Arabidopsis thaliana: one gene and its partner. The protein of the gene in region 1 interacts with the protein of each later gene in a pairwise test. Each region holds a gene or a part of one and is shown on either strand. Other genes may lie near its edges.

Region 1 (3,896 bases):
AAGAAAGATGATTCCTTTTTCTTTGCAGGCGTAACAGCACTTACATGAGTGAGGCTCAACGTAGTGCTCTGAACGCTTTGCTCTTCCGAACTGGTGATCAATCTCGGGACATTGTTCTTGTCTTGGCTACAAACAGACGTGGAGATCTCGATAGTGCGGTTACAGACAGGATTGATGAAGTCATTGAGTTCCCACTTCCAGGGGAAGAAGAACGTTTCAAGCTTCTCAATCTCTATCTCAACAAATATCTAAAGATGGGTGATAACAACGAAGACACAAAACCGAAATGGAGTCATTTGTTTAAGAAGCTGTCACAGAAGATTACCGTTGAAGAAGACTTAACTGATAAAGTGATTTCTGAGGCTGCAAAGAAGACAGAAGGATTCTCTGGCCGTGAGATTGCAAAGCTTGTGGCTGGAGTACAAGCTGGAGTGTACGGACGAGCGGATTGTGTTTTGGATTCACAGCTTTTTAAAGAGATTGTTGAATATAAGGTTGAAGAACATCACCGAAGGCATATGCTTGCTTCTGAAGGTTTTCAGCCATTACTCTTCTCTTAGTCATTTGGATTTTGATTATACATGTCATTTACTTGATCAGAAAGAAGAATCTGATTGTTTTAAAATGAGTCCTAAAATTGAATTTTTAGATTAAACATGTTAAAGAGTTTTACAGAATCTTGAAGTCTTACATATGAACACTTCTCGTTGTTAACATTAGATTCATTTCTGTCTGATGAGGGTTTCTTAAAAAATTGTTTTGTTCATTTGTAAATCTGGTTTGATTTCAGTATATAACATTAAGCTTAAATAGCAAAATAAAAATAAAAATATAAGTAAAATTAAAGGATAAATAAATTTATTCTGGATACAAAAATATCCAAAAACAAAGGAAAACAAACGACGAATAAAATGAAAAACCAACCAACTGAAACAAATTAAAAGAAAAAACAAACTTAAGTCTCACAATACAAGAACAATCCTAACAGTAACCATAGCCAAAATAACGCAAATATTGATTAGGATGTTCTTCTAGCTTCAGACTCTAGCTCTGGTTGAAGTTGTAACTTGACATGTAGTTCATGTTGGATATCGGAACGAGAACTCCATCATTGTTGTATCCAAACATTGGTGGTGTATGATTGGGAAACACCATGTTTGGATTATAGTTGAATGCATTTCTTCTTTGATCAAAAAGATCAATGCCAACATTACCACCACCAATCACGCCAGAACTTTGACCAAAGTAATTCTGCGAAACATTTACTTGAGAATATTGAGACATTTCTCTTACCAGTTTCTTTTTCACATCTTGAAGAGCAGATATCAGCTGGTTGGTTTCATTCATGTCGAGATCTTTCACATCTTTTTCATACCAGTTTCCTACTTGTTCTCTGGATTCTTTCAATAGGTCCAAAACCATTCTCTTCTGTTTCTCCTTTTCCTGGTTTGCCAGCACCTGCAATGAGATTCATTTCATCATGTTGTGAAAAAAACGAGATATGGTTTATATATTTGAACATTTTGAAGAAAACAATCTAACTATGGATACCATTTGATATCTTTAACAATCTAACTATGGATACGATTTGAAAACAATCTAACTATTGATGGTCTCTTTTTCCCTTAACAAATTAAGTTATAGACATAGAATTGGCATATATATATATATATATATATATATATATATATATATATATATATATATATATATATATAATTCTCTTGCATTTTTCTTTAAAACAAAATTGTTTACCTCAGTGAGTATATTGTTGAGATATTGGATATTTCTATCCGGACGGGTTTCAACAAGTTGGAGATTGTTGTTCTGATGATGGACAATGGCAGAATTATGGTTAGGATTCGAAAAGCGATGAATGAGTTCTTGAACACTTGGATGGCCAAAAGAAAACACTTTCCCACCAGGAGAGAACACAATCAACAGAATCTCTGCACCACTTAATGTGCAAAGTTCACTAGCTTTTTTGAAAAGACCGAATCTTCTTTTTGAGAAAGTAACCTGAAGGTTGCTTTCGTTTTCCATTTTTTTCATCTCTATTTTCTGACGACCTTTGGTACTTCTCACCATTTTCTCAAAAATTTGAATAAACAAATGACAAATTTGATGCTAAGAAATAAAATATGTTCTTTATATTTATACAGGTGTATTACATATGGAAATGTAATACATTATAGGTCCATTATAAGTAAACATAATCCTTCAACCCTTAATTTTGCCAAAAAATTAATTTTCCAATTTGAGGAATATTTCATAATTATCTCTGAAATTTCTTAAGGACATAATTATCTCTAAAATTTCTTAAGGATATAAAATTCATGATATTTCAAATGCAATATCATTATATTAGTTGGTAAATGCATAACAGTTTGACAAATGTATGCACCAACTGCCCATGAGAGGCACATTAAAATTTTATGAGCTGTTTGTTAAAATACTTAATCTATATTTTTGGGAAAAATCTTGAACAAAATTATCCATTAAATTATTTGTTTGTATACAGCTAATGCAAGTAATATTTATACAGTAAAACAAAATTTATCTATTTTTGAGATATCACAATCATTACTAGATAAAATATACAGTTGTACTTTACATAATAAAAAAAATTATTAAATGAAATTCAAAAGATTTTGAGTTATGGGCCCAAATTTTTTTAATTTAGATATATACCATTTACTAGATATATTTTTCATAATGATAGTGAGTTATGTTTATTGAAATTAACATTTCTAAGATATAAATAAAATGATTTATACTCAAATATTGTTGATTTTTAACTATCTTTGTTCTTAAATAAAATGTTTGAATATTACAATAATCATTATTGATTCTTATAAATATTTTAAATTATTTTATATAATTGATTTTTTGTGAAAGTTTACACTATCTGACTTATCTTATTAGAAAACTTTGTAATTGTATCGTCAAAACGTTTAAAATTGGTGTCTTCTTCACCTCTCTCACTTTCGGTTGGGCTCATGCTGGGTTTCTTGTTGGGCTTAGTTTTGTTTTTTTATGGTTTAAATCAATTTTCTTGGTTGAACCAAAAAAAAAACAGTTTTCTTTAAAAATGAGATGACAAAAAAAAAACATTGGATTAACTAAGAAAGGTAAAAAAATAAACACTTTCTGATTTACCTTTTTACTGGATTATCCGGTTTGTAACCCTGCTAAGCGCATGGCTTCGGTTTTCTAAACCGGTTATTTTAATCTTTCCAAGTATTGAAACTTCCTCTACGCGACCGGCCACGTGACCTCGGGTCGGGAGACACTAACCCTACAAAATCGAACCACAAGTGGACACGTCGCAAGCACTTCCAGCATAACCGCCTCTTTAATTGCCACGTAAACATCGAATAACCACGTAATCATCGAATAACCACGTGTCTTACAATAACCGCTTATCTAGTGAAAGAAAGGAATGTGATCTCTCCCTCTCTCGCTCATCTATAACTAGAAACTTCCTCCATGAAGATTGGAACCAAGAAACAAAACAAAAAATCGGAATTTTAAAGAATAGGAATAATGGAGAGAAGAACGTTGATGATGATTATGATGCTTACGACGGTGGTGACGCTGACGTGGCAGAAGCAATGCTATGGATGGGGAACGGAGACAGCAGAGGATATGGTTAGAAACGAAGCAGAGCATGCTAAAAACGCAGCCGAGACCGCTAAGAAAATGGCGTCCGATGCGGCTCATGACACAAAGGACAAAACCGCCTCTTGGGCTGGTTGGGTTTCCGACAAAATTTCCACGTAAGCGTTAACTTTTGTTTAGGCATGATCATACTTCTATTTTGGATCTGTGTTGGTTTCTTCTAATGGAACCATCTTCTCATAGTGTTTGATTTCAAATTGTAAACGTAGATCTGA
Region 2 (3,425 bases), on another chromosome or scaffold:
ACAAATAAAATAACAATCACTCACAATACATAGAAAAAAGAACTAACAACTTGGCTTTAATTACACTTTCTTGACGCAGCTAGTTTTGATGATTAATGCATATACATAGTGCTTCGTACTTTTCGAAGAGTGCTTAACGATGACAAATAAATACTTGTGGACAGTAGTAACCTCATATTCTGTATACAAAAGAGAAATTCTTAGTTTGATTTGCCAAAAAAAAAAAAAAAAAAAAAAAACTAAGAATCGTGAAAAGGTGATTGGAGTACTATGTTGGAAGACTCCTTAATGGTCATCAGTACTCATCGGTCTATATTAATTGACTAAATTAGAGTAATGAGTACCATCTATTTGCACCCCCACATGGATCTCCACCCCCATATTGTTTAACAAGGATCAATGTTGCAACCCAAAATAATACAAGGAACAAAACCAAAACTAGAAACTATTATCGATAATGTAAAGATGGAGAAAATATTATTTCTAGTTCATTTTCACATATATGCTAAGGATTACATTATGTTTTTAACCGTTGTTTTATATATATAATTAATAGATTATAAACTAAGTAGTAAAGTTATTTTAGATATTTGTTTAAAAACCAACATTGAAAATATAAAATGATAGTTTTGTGAAAATAAATAAAATTTTAAAACGACATTGAATATATAAAAAAGAGAGAAATAAATTATTCGGCATTAGAACAACATAAAAAACGAATATTGATTAAATAGTTAACTTTAAATCCATGAAATACATAGAGAATACATATCTAGGGTTGTTGGTAGTAAAAGTTGTTATCATCCATCAAAGGATGACTTATTTCCTTAGAATGATTCATCATATGATCATCCAGCCATTCCTCATGTTGATTCTGAATTTGACTCGGATTGTAAATTCCATCTTGAACCAAAATCGGATATCCAAACTGTTGTTGATATTGATATTGATTATGACTAAGATGATTAAAATTTGGATTCTGATCATAAACACCAAATGGATTTATCACTAGAGAATAACTTTACTGGTCAGCATCACTAGATAGAAAATTACTGGAGAAGATATTAACCTGATTTGGTCGCTGGATTGAAGAGATAATAGGCTTCAAAGACGAGAAATCATTGATTAGTCAAGGAGAGTTGAAAACATCGAGATAATTGGAAAGGAATAAGAACTCACTTCAACAACAGATGTTGGTGTCATGGCATTTGTAGCTCCCGAAGATTCTCCAGGTTCAATATGTGATTGATTTATGGTTTTGTTTTTGTGGTGATAAAGTTCTTTAAGATATTGATCAATGTACTTACACAAATCTTCACGGTTTCTATCAGTCAAATTAAGCTTCTCCCCTTTTCCACTAAGAAGTTGGAACATGGCTTCTTTCATCGTCCTCTCCGCATTATCGATCATCTTTTTGTTGTTACTCTCCATAGTTTTTGAGATGTTTTGTCTGATAAAACCTTCGTGGCTCACCATTTTCTTCTCTTGCTCCAACTTTGTCAACATCTCAAAATTTTCCATTACATTTTTAACTTCTGAATTCGATGGCCAGACTTCAGGGTTTGAGTTGAACGGACTATAAATCACTGCACATGCTTCGATTCCGCAGAGAACGGAAAGCTCGTGGATTTTTTTCACAAGCCCTTTCTTTCTCTTATTGAATGTTGCTTTTCTCATTGACTCATTGGTGATGTAAGATAGGTTTAGCTTCTTCCTCGTCATGGTAATGACAACAATAAAAAGGAATTTGTATGTCTAGTATCAAATATGTTTTGTATTGTTGTATGTTGTGTATTGTTTTTATCATGAGTTTGTTTATATGGAACAATCAACTGTTCAAGTGATGATCTCACAAATAGCTGGCAATTAAAAATATTGTAATTAAATGCACCAAAGTTCTTAATTAATATGAAATAATGCATAGTTATGCCACTTGGTACAAATAACAAAAATTATTGGCCAAAGTTTTTGAGTTGGCTACATCAAGATTACATCATAAATTCTGGTTATGAATGAATAATATGAGAACAATAAAAGAACTTTCCATTTAGATGATGAAGATATATATATTGTAATTAAATTTAGAGATTGTTTTCTATGTAAGTATGTACATCAAAATACAAATTATAAATATTTATTATTTTAGTTTGAATAACAGCTAATATGTACATTCAATAAAATTATTTACCTTTCGTGGACAATAGGACTAATAACTAGATTTAGAAAATGTATTCAATACATTGCATCTTCTCTAATGATTTATATTTGGATATGATAAAATACTTTTTGGTATTCAACTAATTTTACAGGTTGTCAAGTATATTACGTAAGATTTTGTAAAAAAAAAATTATTCTTTTAAATAAGATTTACTAGTACTAAAGGTATTTAACTGGTTGTAAACTTGTAGTGTTCTAGTAATATTGAAAATAAACATATTCTTCGTAAAAAATGATCAAACATTCTCAGATATATGAATGATCAAATCCAAAAAGAGATATGTTTATATCCAACATGTATATATCATAATTAAAAAAGTTTTAATATAATCCATCGTTTCAATACTTTTAAGAATTAAGATATCGAGATTAGTGACATCATATGATCTCTTCATAACTTTCGTAGATTGGATAAGTAAAAACAAACCCGTTATTTGGGCTTTTAATCTTAAAGCCCAATTTATTTCTCGGGCCAAAATCAATGAAACACGTCCGTCTCTTTTTCTCCTTCGTTTCGTTTCGTCACGCTCTTTCCCAAGTCCGATCCTCTCGCCATTGCCAGCAAAATTTCTTTCCCGGTTAAGAATTTTTCTATTTCGATTTCATCGTTCGGCTACACCATCGATCTTCACACTTATTTTTTAGGTATGTTCTTGTTGATCTTGTTTTTCGGACTTTGTAATGTGGTACCAGTTTTAGATAATTAGTTCTTGATAATTACGCTCAAATTCCGTTGCTTGGCACTGATTTATTCTGCGTTCGGTACTGATGATCGTTCTTCATTCTCATTCCGATGATTCTGTGGAGTTCACTGATCTAAGTTTGATTTTGGCATACCAGTTGTTCGATTAAATGCCTGAAAGAGAAAACATTCAATTCGTAAATTTCATATTTTGTCTTTGTTTTGGTTTATGATATTTTTATCTAATCTTAAGGCTTAACTTTCAAATACGTCTTGTATACGTGTTGCACAGAAGAGTTATACCTTGAGTTTTTGTTTGTGTAGTCTTTTGTTAGTAGTCTCTAATTTTACGAGTCTGTAACCATCTTTAGGCTTATAACAGGGTTTTTGAAACTGATTGAAGGTTTTTATTTATCCAGGAGGAAGCTATGAAAGTCAAGATCTTGCGTATCCTTTTGTTGCTTCATCTCTTCTTAGCTTTTTTGGGGGAAAGTTTATATTAGGTTAAGTGATAAATCATCCCAGG

What was found.
Region 2: the proteins of AT4G36590 (region 1) and AT3G05860 interact in a two-hybrid assay, tested with the Arabidopsis thaliana proteins (one large-scale study listed by BioGRID).

What each region holds. Positions count from the first base shown.
Region 1 is NC_003075.7:17,260,102-17,263,997, forward strand, and holds AT4G36590 (MADS-box transcription factor family protein), read right to left. Parts: upstream 2,127-3,896; 5' UTR 2,089-2,126; coding exon 1,756-2,088; intron 1,459-1,755; coding exon 1,045-1,458; 3' UTR 836-1,044; downstream 1-835. Other genes in the region: AT4G36580 (AAA-type ATPase family protein), read left to right, coding at 29-560; AT4G36600 (Late embryogenesis abundant (LEA) protein), read left to right, coding at 3,547-3,779.
Region 2 is NC_003074.8:1,750,634-1,754,058, forward strand, and holds AT3G05860 (MADS-box transcription factor family protein), read right to left. Parts: upstream 1,775-3,425; 5' UTR 1,723-1,774; coding exon 1,180-1,722; intron 1,103-1,179; coding exon 1,070-1,102; coding exon of another isoform or gene 1,022-1,069; exon of another isoform or gene 980-1,021; coding exon 773-979; 3' UTR 752-772; downstream 1-751.